Linked DNA regions of Anolis sagrei. The protein of the gene in region 2 purifies or fractionates together with the protein of the main gene of each other region. This does not show direct contact. Links are inferred from orthologs where the notes say so. Each region holds a gene or a part of one and is shown on either strand. Other genes may lie near its edges.

Region 1 (8,303 bases), on a different chromosome or scaffold from region 2:
ACCATACTTGGTATTAAAACACCTGTCCTGTTTTGTTATCGTAAATAGTAATACAGGATAAGCATTTTATATATATATATATATATATATATATATATATATATATATATATATATATATTCCTCTCTGAACAAACACCAAGGAATGGCATTCCAAGATACCAATTTTGTAACACTTTATATAATATCTGTAGCTGCTCTTTTGAGATTGTTGAGATTAAGTCAGACTGTAACTTGGACATACATCTTTATAGAGCTAAAGTTTCTGGTTTCAAAAATGTTCTACAAATTTAGATTCTTGGTCCAAGCGGGCATGGACAGACTTTGGCCCTTGAAGTTCCACGATTCCTAATAATGATAATAATAATAATAATAATAATAATAATAATAATAATAATCTTTATTTAATACCCCGCCACCATCTCCCCAATGGGGACTCAGGACAGCTTACACGAGGCCAAGCCCAACAGCATATTACAATAAAGTAAAACCAAAACAGAATAACAACATAGTAAAATACATACAACATATGAGTGCAATGACGATAAAGCAAAATCATACACAGTAAAATGACAAAGCATAACAATGAGCGGGGCCGCATGTGCAAGATAAAAATTAAGATATTAAAAATACTAAAATCAGGATGAGATGGGGATGGAGCAGATTGCTTGTGGGGGAGAAACTCGTAAAGGAACGGGGTCATAAATATAGATCTTCATACAGGTGGGGAATATACTCTGGGGACAAAAACCGTTGAGAAGGAGCAACTGTGTATGATAATATGACTACTCTACAAAACCGCTGGTAGGCTGTTGGGAACTGTGGGAGTTGAAGTCCAAAATACCTGGATGGCCGAAGTTTGCCCATGCCTGGTCTAAAGGATAAAATTTAAATATCTACAAGCCTTTAGATGTGAAATGCCCCCAAGACAGATTGCATTTTGTCATGTACATTTAGAGAACCTGCCACAAGTGGCTTTTAAATTGGTGCTGTGTGCCATTGTAGACCATGTTCTAATGTCCTGGGTGCAACTCTTCTTCCAGAAAGTGTGGGCTTTAAAAAACAGCATCTAGCCCCCCTGTATTATATAGAAATTCTTGGAAATGCAGACTGGTGGAATAAATGGCTGGGTAAATTGTATTGTATTGTTGGTCCTTGGAAAGGCCTGCACAGTTCTTTCATTTCATGGTTAACGAAAGTAAAATACATTATTCAGAACAGTAAATGCAAAAACAGAATTTATGTGAAATCACACAAACTGGCTTAATTTGAATGACATACAGGCTGCAGAAATCCACATTTCATGCGATGAGGGTTAGAACTACCCTGGTTGAGTTTTTTGTAGTGCGAGTTATAGGCATGTGCTGCAAATGAATGGCGAAACAGTATGAATGTGCCAGGGAACAAGTATCTGTGGTAGAGTGTATGTGATTGAATGGCAAGTTCTTCAAGCTTCACTCACTGTGCCTTACCCTTAAATGAGATGTGTGTGTTATGTTTTGGAGCAGGGGAATCACTTTCTCAACATGCAGTCTCCCCTAAGCTTGTATACACTGTATTTGCTGACTTTGATGCTTTTAACACTAACATTATCTTTGACTAGAGAACACTATTAGTCATGTTTCTCCAAGAACCAGAATATGGATCACATGCAACTAGGAATTCTCTTGATAAGGTATTTGGGAAGCTTTTGTCTTCTAAATCTCCTTTACAATGTTTTTGCTGCAGATAAATTGGCCACAAAGATTTTGTGCAAGCCTCACTCCCACAAACTGAGCTACCAACATGAGCACAGATGGTTTTCCTGTTGGGATCCTTGTATGAATAGAGCACATGACTGGTTTTATACTAAATACCTCCTTCCTAATTTTTTCCCTTAGTGGCACCTGCACATTTCTTTTAAAGTTCATTGTCAGCGGGTAGAAATTTAAGATGCAAGTGAACAGAAAAGATGTGTGCAGTTAGGCAGCAGTGAGTAGCTGTGTTGCAAAGATAGAAGTGCACTGGTTACAGCTCTGAGCAGAATATGTAGATTTTGATAATCTGCATCTCTTTCTCCTGAGTCTATATACCATTCATCACAATCTTACCTTTATTTCTAGTTAACATATTACTAGCTTCCATTGATCTTACACCAATGATATCTGCAAAACCTCTAGAAAATCTGGTTGAAGAGAGGAAAGAGGGGACTTCATTTTCACTCCTTACCTATTATGTTTGATGGTGCCTCTTTTATTGATTCACTATTTTGGAAAAACACTGTACCTAACCCACAGTAAGTGATGCTGTCTCTACTGAAAATGTAACTGCATCCATTGATGCACAATCAAATCTATGTCCATGATCTAATAAATTAATCAAATGCAAATGGTGTCCTCCTAATTTGTTTTCTGCCTCCAAGATCAATACGCTTTTAGTGAATGTATACCTTCAGTTGTGTGCCTTCAAATAATTTCCAACTTAAGGTAGCCATATTTTCCTGGCAAGGTTCATTTAGAGCAGTGGTTCTCAACCTGGGGGTCGCGACCCTCAGGGGGTCATTGGGCCATTTTCTGGGGGTCGTGAAGCCACCTCGGTTGGCCCGCCCCCTCCTGGCTCAGAAGGATCGATGGGAAGGCTCCCTGCATTGCTTGGCCCTCTGAGGAGCCTTTGCCACATGGCCCTCGCTCCCTGCTGGGCTCGGAAGAGGCACGAGGGTCAAGGGGAAGGCTCGCCATGTGGCCTAGCCGACTAGGGAGACTTTGCCACTCGGTCCTCGCCTCCTCGCCTCAGAAGGGGCGAGGGACAAGGGGATCCACTCGGCCCTCACCCCCTGTTTGGCTTGGAAGGGTCAAGGGGAAGGCTCCCCATGCGGCTTGGCTGACCGGGAAGCCTTTGCCACTCGGCCCTCAACCCCTGCTGGGTTCGGAAGGAGCGAGGGTTGAGGGGAAGGCTCCCTGCTCGGACTGGCTCTCGCTACCCAAGTTTGATCCAGGTCCATCATCGGTGGAGGCCGGTTTCTCTGGTTGTGAGTGAACTACAACTCCCAGAAACAAAGGTTAGCCTTCCAGTAATCAACTGTAAGCATATCAGCTATGTGTTCCAAATTTGGTTCCATTTCATTGTTGTTAGAATTCAAAATGCTCTTTGTTGGCAGGGGAACTATACATCCCAGCAACTTCCAACTCCCAAATGCCAAGGTCTATTTTCCCCAAGCCTCTCCAGTATTTTCTGTTCGTCATGGGAGTTCTGTATGCCAAGTTTGCTTCAATTCAATTCTTGTTGGAGTTCAGAATGCTCTTGGTTCGCAGAGGAACTATACATCCCAGCAACTTCAACTCCCAAATGTCAAGATCTATTTTCACCAAACTCCACCAGTCTTAAAATTTGGGCATATTGAGTATTTGTGCCAAGTTGGGTTCATAGTGCTCTCCGGATATAGAACTAGATCTCCCGTAAATTGCTGTCAATTCCTCCCAAACTCCTGCAGTATTTTTTATTGGTCATTGGGGTTCTGTGTGCCAAGTTTGGTCCAGGTCTGTAATTCATGGGGATTTCAGTGGTCTGTGGAAGTCAGAGCTGCATCAGTTGAAGGTACTGCAGATCCCATTATCTGTTGTCCATACTCCCCCGAACATTTTGTTTTTGTGATTAGTCACTACGCTTTAATTATGTTCAGTTTGTAACTATGAAAATACATCCTGCATGTCAGATATTTACATTACAATTCATAACAGTAGCAAAATTATGGTTGGGGGTCACCACAACATGAGGAACTTTGTTTAGGGGTCATGGCATTAGAAAGCTTGAGAATCATTGCTGTAAATAAATAAATATAGATAATAATTACATCAATATTAATATAAAATAAGTATATTGCTAGTAACATATTATATATATATATATATATATATATATATATATATATATATATTGCTAGTAACATTATTAGTAGAAATAATAGCCAAATCTGGGGAGCTCCAATGGATACACCCCTTTCACTCCATTCATTCTCGGAAAGCCCCGCCCCCTTTAACTTCTCGACCAATTCTTCCCTGGCAAGCCCCGCCCCTTAATTCCTCAGCCAATCATTCCTCTTCCGAGAAGGGAAGCTCCAATGGATGCACTTCTTTTGCTCCAGTCAGCCTTGGAAAGCCCAGCCGCCAGTAGCTGCTCAGGACACGCCCCTTTCAGCGATTGCTTCCCGCTCTGGGGAGCCCCGCCCACTAATGCCTCAGCCAATCCGTCCCTGGCAAGCCCCGCCCCCGTGTTTTCGACTGACGCGCGCCGAGAGTTCTTCTCAGCTGGTTGTTTTCCTCGGTGCATTTGGAACCCATTCTCAGCAGCCGGAGTCCATTCACGCTTTTGGGAATTATGGGAATTGAAGTTCAAAGCACCTGGAGGGAGGACCAGAGTTTGGGCATGCCTATGAGACAGCTGGGAATTCTGGGAGTCCAAAGCTACAAAGTGGAATCCATGACATGAGAGTGTGGAGAAGAGCAAACCACTGACCACGTACTACAATGCAACCTGAGCCCTGCCACATGCACAATGGAGGACCTTCTTGCATCAACACCAGAGGCACTCCCAAGTGGCCAGATACTGGTCAAAGGACATTTAATAGAATGCAAAGTCTGCAAACTTTGTGTTTTGTTTGTCTGTTTGATTTTAATACAACTGTTTTGGTTCGCTCCTGACACGATAAATAAACCTTCAAGGACTATGAGGCCCATTAGAATAGGTCAGCATAGCTTCAAGGACTATGAAGCGAGAATCAGCGTAATTTAAAGGATTCTAATGCCCATCGAGCCGGATCAACATAACTTCAAGAATTCTATGGCACAGCAGGCTTAATAGTTTTTTTTTAAATCAGGCTGGTTAGAGTTGAAGGAAGTTGCAGTTTGATTGACACGTGGAAGACCACGCACGTGCCCCCTCCCCGTTCTAAAGCGCTTAACCTGAACGTTCTAACCGGAAGCCAGGTCCTGGCTCTGACACTGCCCATGAGAAGACGAAGAAGCCTATGAGAGGTTTGGGTTTGGCGCGAAAAGCGGCGATTGGCTGGGAGGAGGCGGAGCGCGCGCTCCGGGGAACCAATGGGAGAGCTCGAGCGGACGGCTGGCGCGCGCGCGCGAGAGCCGGCAGATGCAATTGTCATATCAGAAGGAAGGAGATAGTGAAGAGTTTGGCGCGGTTTCCCTGAGAAGAAAACTGAAGGTAATTGGAATGCAGTTTTACCCCACTTTAATTGCCATTCATATGCTTTAAAACAGCTGTATTTGTGCAATATATTACTGTCATAATAGAGGAAGACAACTTATGTTGTAGACCAACTTTATAATATTGCTAATATTATAACGACTTCTTTACTGAATGAGAAAACTTGGGGTTTCTGTTTACGTTTTCCCCAAACTGGTTATTACTCAATACTCATGAAACCTCCATGTATGGATGGCCAAAATGCTGAATGCTGGAGATTTGGAACAAGCAATAATAAGATATTATAGTTATATATTTATATTGGATGGTATCCTTGAAGTGACTGGATTGACCTTGAAAGAGCTGGGGGTGGTGACGGCCGACAGGGAGCTCTGGCGTGGGCTGGTCCATGAAGTCACAAAGAGTCTGAAACGAATGAACATTATATGTAATATTACTAATAATATCATAATGTAATGGTATAGTACAATATAGTAATATTTAATACTGATATTGTACTATGCTAATAATATAATATATTGTATGTATATATATCTTGTAAGCCACTCTGAGTCCCCTTCAGGGTGAGAAGGGCAGCATATAAATGTCATAATAAAAAAATAAATAAATCACCTATATCAGGCATCTTCAAACTGTGGTCCTCCAGCTATTTGGGCCTTCAGCTCCCAGAATTCCTGGCAATTGAACAAACTCGATAGGGCTTCAGGGAGTTGGGGGCCCAAACAGCTGGAGGGCCACAGTTTGAGGATGCCTGACCTATATAATGTCCTGATTAAACAAATGTTTGGGTCATGATAATGTCTGACCAGCGTAGAATGGAAGTACATATGTTTACAGGTATCCCTCAGTTAACAGGTCTTCTGGCAAAGATATTTCTACAACTTTTTTGCATGCGTCACACCTTTTCCTCATCCTCTGTCTTGTTTTAGTAGCATTGGCATGGAGCCCCCAGTGGCGCAGTGGGTTAAACCCCTGTGCCGGCAGGACTGAAGACCAACAGGTCGAATCTGGGGAGAGGCGGATGAGCTCCCTCTATCAGCTCCAGCTCCTCATGCGGGGACATGAGAGAAGCCTCCCACAAGGATGATAAAAACATTAAAAAAAATCATCCAGACATCCCCTGGGCAACGTCCTTGCAGACGGCCAATTCTCTCACACCAGGAGTTACTCCTGACACGACAAAAAGCATTGGCATTGGGATAATGATTGTGATGAAGGGCACTGAGAAACATTCAACATCAGGTTGTAGCAATGTGTCTTTATTGCAATAAATCAGAGGTCTTCAGACTTTTAAAACAGAGGGTTCACAGTCCCACAGACTGTTGAGGGTTGGAATATAGCTTGAAAACAACATGAACGAATTCGTGTGCACACTGTACAAATAACCCATGAAAGAACAATAAAGTATTGAAAATGAAGATCAGTTTTATCCAACATAAACTTACCAGTATTTGAATGGGAAGTGTGAGCATGTTTTTGGCTGATGAGTCTATTTATTTATTTATTTATTTACTTATTTATTTATTTACGGTATTTATATTCTGCTTTTCTCACCCCTTGGGGGATTCAAAGTGGCTTACACAAATATAACAGCAAAATTAAATGCCTTACATGCATAAACCAAAACTCAAATCGACAACATATAACTAGGCATAAAATCAATAGGACAATTCACCATAAGATAAGATAAAAGGACATTTTAAACATGAAATATAAGAACTAAAACACCTAATAAAAGCATTAAAATCACACTATCCAACAATTAGGATTGTTATTGTTATATGCTTTCAAGTCAATTCAGACTTAGGATGCCCCTCAGTCTAAAGTTTAAGGGGGGGGGGGGGGGGAGAGATAAATGACCTTGGAAGGAAATGAAGAGTTATTGGTTACTGAGATCTTTCCTGAACAAGAAATGGACAGTATTTTGTGCTCCAGCCCAGGCTCAGTATTATTACTAAAGTGCTGGCTTTAGCCTATAAAACCCTAAATGGTTCTGGCCCAGCTTATCTGTCTGAATGCATCTCCCCCTATGAACCACCTCAGAAATTAAGGTCGTCAGGGGAGGCCCTGCTCTCAGTCCCACCTCCTTTTCATGTGCGACTGGTGGGGACGAGAGACAGGACCTTCTCAGTGGTGGCCCCTCAGATGTGGAACTTCCTCCCAGTGACATTAGATCAGCTCCCTTCCTCCCGGCCTTCAGAAGGAAAGTGAAAATGTGGCTTTGGGACCAAGCCTTCGGAGAAGTGCAATAGAAGGATTAGAAGAAGAATATATGCAATGACTATTGGAATAGCCTCAGATTACGATTGTGGATGGTGCAGTTTTAATAATGGTTGCAATGTTTTTAACTATTTTAATGTTCATTGATTTTAATCTTAATTTAAATGTTTATTTTAATTGTATGTTTTTAAGGCATTGAATAGTTGCCTATGTGTAAAGCTGCCCTGAGTCACCTTTGGGGTGCGGGGTATAAATATGATCAATAAATAAATAACTCCTGTAAGACAAAATTATACCTAGGAATAATATAATAGTTGAGATTTAAAAGGTGCTTCATATGCATGTGTCTGAAGCAGAGATTAGTTGTGTATGTTTTAACTTGTATACTGATTCTTTATATGCTTCTTTTTGGTTTTAGTATCCACCATGCCTAGTACCAGATCTAAGTCCCAAACCCAGAAACAGAATAAAATCGACTTTCCTAAGCGGAAATCAACCAGGACCCTTTGCCAGACTCTAGTTAAAGAAGAGGGTTCAAAGTTGAATTCAGCCCCAGTCTCACCACTCTCTTCTAAGAAGCAAGTCTTGCCTCTCAGCCCTCGCAAGCGGCTTGGTGAGTCAAAGTTTTCCAAAGCATCACTGGGCAGTGGCATGTATACATTAGATGTGTTTAAGTCTTCTTCTTGGTGCTAAATCAATATGTGAGGCTTCAAGAAATTATGGTAGAAAGTGGCCGTGTTTTCCAAAACACCACTGGGCGGGTTTTATACTTCAGAAGGTTTCACCTCACTTTCTGTCCCTGTGAGAATTGGATTTTGGGGGGAAAATGGCTTGTTGTGAAAATAAGGATTGACGAGAAAGCTTCAGTGGAGACACCTTTTCCTC
Region 2 (7,958 bases):
AACACTGAATAGCCATGCAGCTTCAAGGTCTGGTTGCTTCCTGCCCAAGGCAATCCTATATCTAGCTAGCTATCTATGTATGTATGTATGTATCTATCTATCTGTGGAATGATGTCCAGGGTGGGAAAAAGAAAGAAAGAACTCTCGTCTGTTGGAGGCGAGTGTGAATGTTGCTATAGATCACCTTGATTAGCACAGAATAGCCTTGCAGCTTCAAGGTCTGGCTGCTTCCTGCACAGGAAATCCTATCTATCTATGGAATGATGTCCAGGGTGAGATAAAGAAAGAACTCTAGTCTGTTGGATGCAAGTGTGAATGTTGCTATTGGCCACCTTGGTTAGCACTGAATAGCCTTACACCTTCAAGGCCTGGCTGCTTCCTGCCCGAGGCAATCCTATATATATGTGTGTGTGTGTGGAATGTTGTCAAAGGTGGGAGAAAGAGAGAACTCTATAATCTGTTGGAGGCAAGTGTGAATGTTGCTACTGGCCACCTTGATTAACATTGAGTAGCCTTGCAGCCTCAAGGTCTGGCTGCTTCCTGTCCAGGGGAATCCTATATATATATATATATATATATATATATATATATATATATATCTATATATCTGTGGAATGTTGTCAAGGATGGGAGAAAGAGAGAACTCTATAATCTGTTGGAGCCAAGTGTGAATGTTGCTATTGGCTAGCTTGATTAGCATTGAGTAGCCTTGCACCTTCAAAGCCTGGCTGCTTCCTTCCTGGGGGAATCCTTTGTTGTGGGGTGTGAGCTGGCCTTGATGTAGGATTTAGCCAGGCATGGGCCAACTTAGGACCTCCTTCCAAGTGTTAGGAAGGTAGGAATTGGAGTCCACAACACCTGGAGAGAGGGAGGGCCCAAGTTGTCCCATGCATAGGGGCGTGGCCTAGCTGTGCAGTGGGCGTGGCCTAGCTCCAAGCCCCGCCCCCGACTGACCTGTTGAGGAACTCCAGTGCTGCAAAAGGTGAAGCTTTGGAAGGGATGGTGGCCACGAAGTAGAGCCCCCCATGACGCACATGCGCGAAGTGGAGCCCCGGGGGATGCGCCTCCTGCAGGAGAAAGGGAGGGTGTGACGTCAGAGGGTGAGTGACGTCCGGTGCTTCCCCCTTGGCCTTGACCCCCTTCTCACCATGAAGACCGGGGCCTGGTCAGGAGGCAGCGCCGTCACCTTCCGGAAGAAGTCCTCCACGAGGCCGGGGTGGCCCTCCCCACGGACTGTGCGCAGAGGGTCAAGGAGGGCAACGGGACCAGGGCCCTCCCCCACTGTCCCTCCCCTTCAGAAGAAGACGTACAAGCCACTCTAAACACCTTCGCAGAAGCATACGAGAAGCTCGCCCTCTCACTGAACATTGAGAAAACCAAGGTGCTTTTCCAGCAGGCACCAGCCAATCCCTCTCCAATGCCAGTGATACAGCTTAATGGTGTAACATTAGGAAATGTGGACCATTTCCGCTCCCTTGGCAGCCACCTCTCCACCAAAGTCAACATCGACGCCAAAATACAACACCGCCTGAGCTCTGCAAGTGCAGCATTTTCCCGAATGAAGCAGAGAGTGTTTGAGGACCGGGACATCCATAGGGAGACCAAGGGGCTTGCCTATAAAGCTACTGTCCTCCCAACCCTGCTCTATGCCTGCGAAATGTGGACTGTCTACAGATGTCAACATTGAGACTGAAATGCAACACCGTCTGAGCTTTGCAAGTGCAGCATTTTCCCGAATGAAGCAGAGAGTGTTTGAGGACCGGGACATCCGTAGGGATACCAAGGTGCTTGTTTATAAAGCTATTGTCCTTCCAATCCTGCTCTATGCCTGCGAAATGTGGACTGTCTACAGATGTCAACATTGAGACTGAAATGCAACACCGTCTGAGCTTTGCAAGTGCAGCATTTTCCCGAATGAAGCAGAGAGTGTTTGAGGACCGGGACATCCGTAGGGATACCAAGGTGCTTGTCTGTAAAGCCATTGTCCTCCCAACCCTGCTATACGCCTGCGAAATGTGGACTGTCTACAGATGTCAACATTGAGACTGAAATGCAACACCGTCTGAGCTTTGCAAGTGCAGCATTTTCCCAAATGAAGCAGAGAGTGTTTGAGAACTGGGACATCCGTAGGGAGACCAAGGGGCTTGTCTATAAAGCTACTGTCCTCCCAACCCTGCTCTATGCCTGCGAGACGTGGACTGTCTACAGATGTCAACATTGAGACTGAAATGCAACACCGTCTGAACTTTGCAAGTGCAGCATTTTTCCGAATGAAGCAGAGAGTGTTCGAGGACCGGGACATCCGTAGGGATACCAAGGTGCTTGTCTATAAAGCTATTCCCCTCCCAACCCTGCTCTATGCCTGCGAAACGTGGACTGTCTACAGACGTCACATGCAACTCCTGGAACGATTCAATCAGCGCTGCCTCCGGAAAATCCTGCAAATCTCTTGGGAAGACAAGCGGACAAACGTCAGCGTGCTGGAAGAAGCAAAGACCACCAGCATTGAAGTGATGCTTCTCCGCCACCAACTCCGCTGGACTGGCCACATTGCCCGGATGCCCGACCACCGTCTCCCAAAGCAGTTGCTCTACTCTGAACTCAAGAATGGAAAACGGAATGCTGGTGGACAGGAAAAGAGATTTAAAGATGGGCTTAAAGCCAACCTTAAAAACTCTGGCATGGACACTGAGAACTGGGAAGCCCTGGCCCTTGAGCGCTCCAGCTGGAGGTCAGCTGTGACCAGCAGTGCTGCAGAATTTGAGGAGACACGAGTGGAGGGTGAAAGAGAGAAACGTGCCAGGAGGAAGGCGCGTCAAGCCAACCCCGACCGGGACCGCCTTCCACCTGGAAACTGATGCCTTCACTGTGGGAGAAGATGTGGGTCAAGAAGAGGGCTCCACAGCCACCTACAAACCCACAAAAATAGTCATCAAGGAAGACCATCTTACTCGTCCAACGAGGGATCGCCTAAGTAAGTAAGTAAGTAAGTCTCTCCCCTTCTGCCCTTCAGGAAGGATACAGTCCTTGTAGAGGAGCCGGTCCCCTTGCGAGGAGAGCACGAACACCTCCGAGATCATCCTCGGCCCTCCAGGAAACACTCTGCACACGCCCCGGAGCACTCTCTTTAGCCTTACTTCCTGGAAGAAGCAAAATACTAGGGAGGGGGCGTGGCCTGTGGGAGGTCACGCCCCTCCCGCCTGGGATTGGCTCACAGGCGCTGCGTCACCTAGAGGCGTGGCCTGCACAAGGAAGAGTCTCCACCCTTCAGTGATAAAGGGAGAAGGGATTGGTTGAGGAATGTAGCGTCACGTAGAGGCGTGGCCTACACAAGGAAGAGTTTCCGCCCTTCTCTGCAAAGACGAGCAGGGATTGGTTGCGAGGTGTCGCGTCACGTAAAGGCGTGGCCTACACAAGGAAGAGTTTCCGCCCTTCTCTGCAAATGTGACCGGTGATTGGTTGCGAGGTGTCGCGTCACGTAGAGGCGTGGTTTGTATAACGGCAAGTCCCCGCCCCCGCCTGCAAAGGCGAGCGGTGATTGGTTGCGAGGTGCTGCGTCACGTAGAGGCGTGGTTTGTATAACGGCAAGTCCCCGCCCCCGCCTGCAAAGGCGAGCGGTGATTGGTTGCGTGGTGCTGCGTCACGTAGAGGCGTGGCCTACACAAGGAAGAGTTTTCTCCCTTCGCTGCAAAGACGAGCGGTGATTGGTTGCGAGGTGCTGCGTCACGTAGAGGCGTGGCCTACACAAGGAAGAGTTTCCGCCCTTCTCTGCAAATGTGAGCGGTGATTGGTTGCAAGGTGTTGCGTCACGTAGAGGCGTGGTTTGTATAACAGCAAGTCCCCGCCCCTGCCTGCAAAGGCGAGCAGGGATTGGCTGTGGCGTGCTGCGTCACTTAAAGGCGTGGCCTAGAGAATGAAGAGTCCCTGCCCTTCTCTACAAACGCGAGCAAGGATTGGCTGCGGAGTTGTGCGTCACTTGAAGGCGTGGCCTAGAGAACGACGAGTCCCCGCCCTTCTCTTCAAACGCGAGCAGGGATTGGCTGCGGGGCGTAAAGGCGTGGCCTGCATAAAGAAATTTCCCCGCCCTTCCCTTCAAAGACGAACTGGGATTGGTTGAGGGTTTTACGTCACGGAGAGGCGTGGCCTGCATACGGATAAGTCTCCGCCTCTCTTTGCATAGCCGAGCAGGGATTGGCTGCGGGGCGTTGCTTCACGTAGAGGCGTGGCCTGTATAAGAGCAAGTCTCCGCCTCTTTCTGCATAGCCAAGCAAGGATTGGCTGCGGGGCGTTGCTTCACATAGAGGCGTGGCCTATTGAATCGAGTCCCCGCCCTCTACTTCCAAAGCCGAGCAGGGATTGGTTCCGAGGTGTTGCGTCACGTATGTGGGAGCTGTGGAAGAGTCTCCTCCCTTTCGCGCAATCCCGAGCAGGGATTGGCTGTGGGATGGAACCGCGCGGACCAATCGGATTATGTCAATCTTGACTAGCGCGGGAAAAAGCCAGAGCGAGATGGAGGCGTGGCTAACAAGGAAGGAGGGCGGGGATTGACAGAAAGGAGGGCGGGGATTGGCTGAGTCGTGTGGAGCCGGCCAATCGGAGCAGCGCCGCCTTTTCCCGCGCGCGGGAAAAAGCAGTCAGAAGAAGAGAAGGCAGGATGGCGTCGGGAAAAGGCGAGAAGCTGGGCCTACGCGGGGACTACGACGCCGAGATGGGTGAGGGCAGCGAGGAAGCGGCGGGGAGGAGATGGAAAGGCCTCTCTCTCCCTTTGCCTGACGCTTCTTTTCCTGTTTTCCTATCAGACAAGGCGGCGTCCTTCCTGGAGGGATTCTTCTCCAGCTCTTCCTCTTCTCTCCCTTCGGACCAGGCCGGGAAACACTTCCCCTACCGGGAGCAGCTGGTGAGTCCGTGCCCGAGGCGGCGGGGAGAGTTCCCCGGAGGCTCCCACCCCTTGCTAACCTTCTCCCTTCCTGGGCAGACCCTTCTGGCGCACCGCGAGGCTTCCACGCTGCGGGTGGACCTGGACGACGTGGCCGAGGAGGACCCGGCCTTGGCGGAGGCCGCCTGCGAGAACGCCCCCCGCTACCAGCGCCTCTTCGCCGACGCCGCCGCCCGGCTCCTGCCCGCCTACAAGCAGAGAGAGGTCAGCACTCCTTACAACCAAGGGGGTGCTGGGAAATGTAGTCTTTTTGCCATTCTCTCCTAGGCCGGGAATAGACCCCCAAAAAACCAAAAACCGGCCTGGAACTACATTTCCCAGAATTCTTAGGGGGGGAGGACACTAAAGTTCTCCCTTGTCTCCTGTGCTATGCTGATAATATAATATGACATTCTGTATTATAATACAGGGTTAGTCAAAATGAATAGGCCAATAAGCCATTCAATTGAATGGCTTATTGGCCTATGCAGTTTGACTAACCCTGTATAATATATTGTATATAAATATATGATATTCTAATATATGTTGTGTGTATATATATATATATATATATATATATATATATATATAATATGATATTCTGATATATTATATATTGTATATACGTGTGGTATTTAGAAATATATATTATATGAACATATAATGTGATATCTGCAGGGTTAGTCAAAATGAATAGGCCAATAAGAGAATTAATTGTACCCGAATTGGCCTATTCATTTTGACTAACCCTGTATATTGCATAGATACGTAATATGGTATTCTGTAATATATATTATTGCATATGCATATATGATATTCTGAAATATAATATAATATTTTGCATACACATAATATGATATTCTGTAATATATTGCATATACATATAACGTGATATTCTGAAATATAATTTTTCCATTGACACAATATGATATTCTATAATATATTGCATAGATATGTAGTATGGCATTATAATAATATATTGCATAGACACATAATGGGATATTCTGTAATATAATAATTGCAAAGACACATAATATGATATTCACTAATATAATATTTTGCATCGAAACATAATATGATATTCTGTAATATAATATATTTTGCATAGACACATAATATGATACTCTATAATTTAATATATTGTCTATACATATAATATGATATTCCAGCAGAGAGAGGTCAGGATGCACAGCGGGGAGGATGCCGGGAAATGTAGTCCTTTGCCATTCCCTCTTAGGCCGGGAATAGCAAAATAAAAAACGCAGCCTGGAACTACATTTCCCAGAATTCTGATGGAGGAGGATGCCAGAGATAGGAAAATATAGAAGGCTAATAATATTGTGTTTCCGCTCTGCCTAGATTGTGCACAAGGATGCGCTGGACGTCTACCTGGAGCACCGGCTGCTGCTGGAAGGGCGCCGAGGAGGAGGCGGGGAAAGGGGGGCTGCGCAGTCCCGCCCCCCACAGAACAACTTCCCCGCAGAGCTCATGCGCAGATTGTGAGTCCCGCCCACAAAAGGGGAGGGGTCAGGGGGGAAGGGGTGGGGAAGCCATAAACAATATAAAACTATAAGAACAGACAACAAATAGTCAGCCATCACCAATTTAAATCATTATCCAGGGGCACTTGATCAGTTCTAAATAAGTCAACACGTCAGTAAGTCAGCCTATTCTCCAAAGGCCTGATCCCATAGCCAGGATTTTACTTGTTTCCGGAAGGTCAAGAGGGATTCAGCAGATCTAATTTCACTCGGGAGGGAGTTCCACAGACGGGGGGCCACCACAGAGAAGGCCCTGTCATTTGTCCCCGCCAGACGCGATTGCGACAATGAGGGGACAATGAGCAGGGTCTCCTCAGATAATCTTAGGGCCCTAGATATACATATTTATGTATACGTTTTTGTGCATTGGCATATCTTTGTCCCTAACAGTTCAAAAACTAGGTATATCAGTTTTAACAGCTGCAAAACATAATTGTCTTGCATGAATGCCATTTCCCAAAAGATTATGATTTCTAACAAGGTCGTGCCTTTGCAAAGATCATAACTTCTCCAAAACCTCCAACTCCAGCCTCCCCGTTTTGCCCCTCTCACGCTCCTCCTGTGCCCCCAACAGCGAGCTCTATTTCAAGGCTCCTTCCGGGATGAAGCCCCGAGTGATCCGTGAGGTGAAGGCCGACTGCATCGGGAAGCTGGTGACCGTCCGGGGCATCGTGACCCGCGCCTCAGAGGTCAAGCCCCGGATGGTGGTGGCCACCTACTCCTGCGACCGCTGCGGGGCGGAGACCTACCAGCCGGTGAGTTTTGGGCAGCCTGGCAAAAGGGGATTGAGGGCAGGGAGTGACTCAGCTGGAACCACAGAGTGCCTCCGATGAGGATGATGTGACTCAGGTTCACAGCCTGGTTCAAAATGTCCCTGTTATAGACAGTGAAGAAGTGCACTTTCCCACAGCAAGGCATGAGAGTGCTGATACTGAAAATAGCCAGGTGCAGATTGACTCAGAGAAGGAGGACAGTTCTCAGTCTGATAATGAGCAAGCAGGGAAACAGGCGGACACTAACGAACAGACTGACCTTGATGAAATGGGAACCTTAGATCGGGTTGACTGTTTGGAATTCAGAGTTCGAAGGAGTGTGAGAATAGCTAACAGGAAGGAGGCCAGAGGAATTCGAAGGAGTGAGAAAATAGCTAACAGGAAGGAGGCCGGAGGAGTTCGAAGGAGTGTGAGAATAGCTAACAAGAAGGAGGCCGGAGGAGTTCGAAGGAGTGTGAGAATAGCTAACAGGAAGGAGGCCAGAGGAATTCAAAGGAGTGAGAAAATAGCTAACAGGAAGGAGGCCAGAGGAGTTCAAAGGAGTGTGAGAATAGCTAACACGAAGGAGGCCAGAGAAACATGTTTTGCAAAGGGTATTAAGCAGTGTGTTTGGGACCCGGGCCTGTAGCCAGGATTTCGTTTCGGGGGGGCTGAGTCTGAGTGAAAGAGGGTCTAGCCTAGCAAACCTTTTGTGTCATTACCCCAATACCCCCATCATGCATATGGGAT

The links. Proteins that work in one complex are often made in the same cells at the same time.
Region 1: the proteins of MCM7 (region 2) and CDC6 purify together in Homo sapiens (affinity purification with western blotting; 3 studies listed by BioGRID). This does not show direct contact. The link is inferred for Anolis sagrei from reciprocal best matches to the Homo sapiens genes MCM7 and CDC6.

The regions. Positions count from the first base shown.
Region 1 is NC_090026.1:40,191,135-40,199,437, reverse strand, and holds the start of CDC6 (cell division control protein 6 homolog), read left to right. Parts: upstream 1-5,107; 5' UTR 5,108-5,195; intron 5,196-7,836; 5' UTR 7,837-7,844; coding exon 7,845-8,031; intron 8,032-8,303. UniProt on the Homo sapiens protein: Involved in the initiation of DNA replication. Also participates in checkpoint controls that ensure DNA replication is completed before mitosis is initiated.
Region 2 is NC_090024.1:246,954,694-246,962,651, reverse strand, and holds the start of MCM7 (DNA replication licensing factor MCM7), read left to right. Parts: upstream 1-4,555; 5' UTR 4,556-4,654; coding exon 4,655-4,712; intron 4,713-4,799; coding exon 4,800-4,897; intron 4,898-4,975; coding exon 4,976-5,140; intron 5,141-6,274; coding exon 6,275-6,414; intron 6,415-7,030; coding exon 7,031-7,211; intron 7,212-7,958. Other genes in the region: AP4M1 (AP-4 complex subunit mu-1), read right to left, coding at 955-1,067, 1,148-1,233, 3,023-3,080. UniProt on the Homo sapiens protein: Acts as a component of the MCM2-7 complex (MCM complex) which is the replicative helicase essential for 'once per cell cycle' DNA replication initiation and elongation in eukaryotic cells.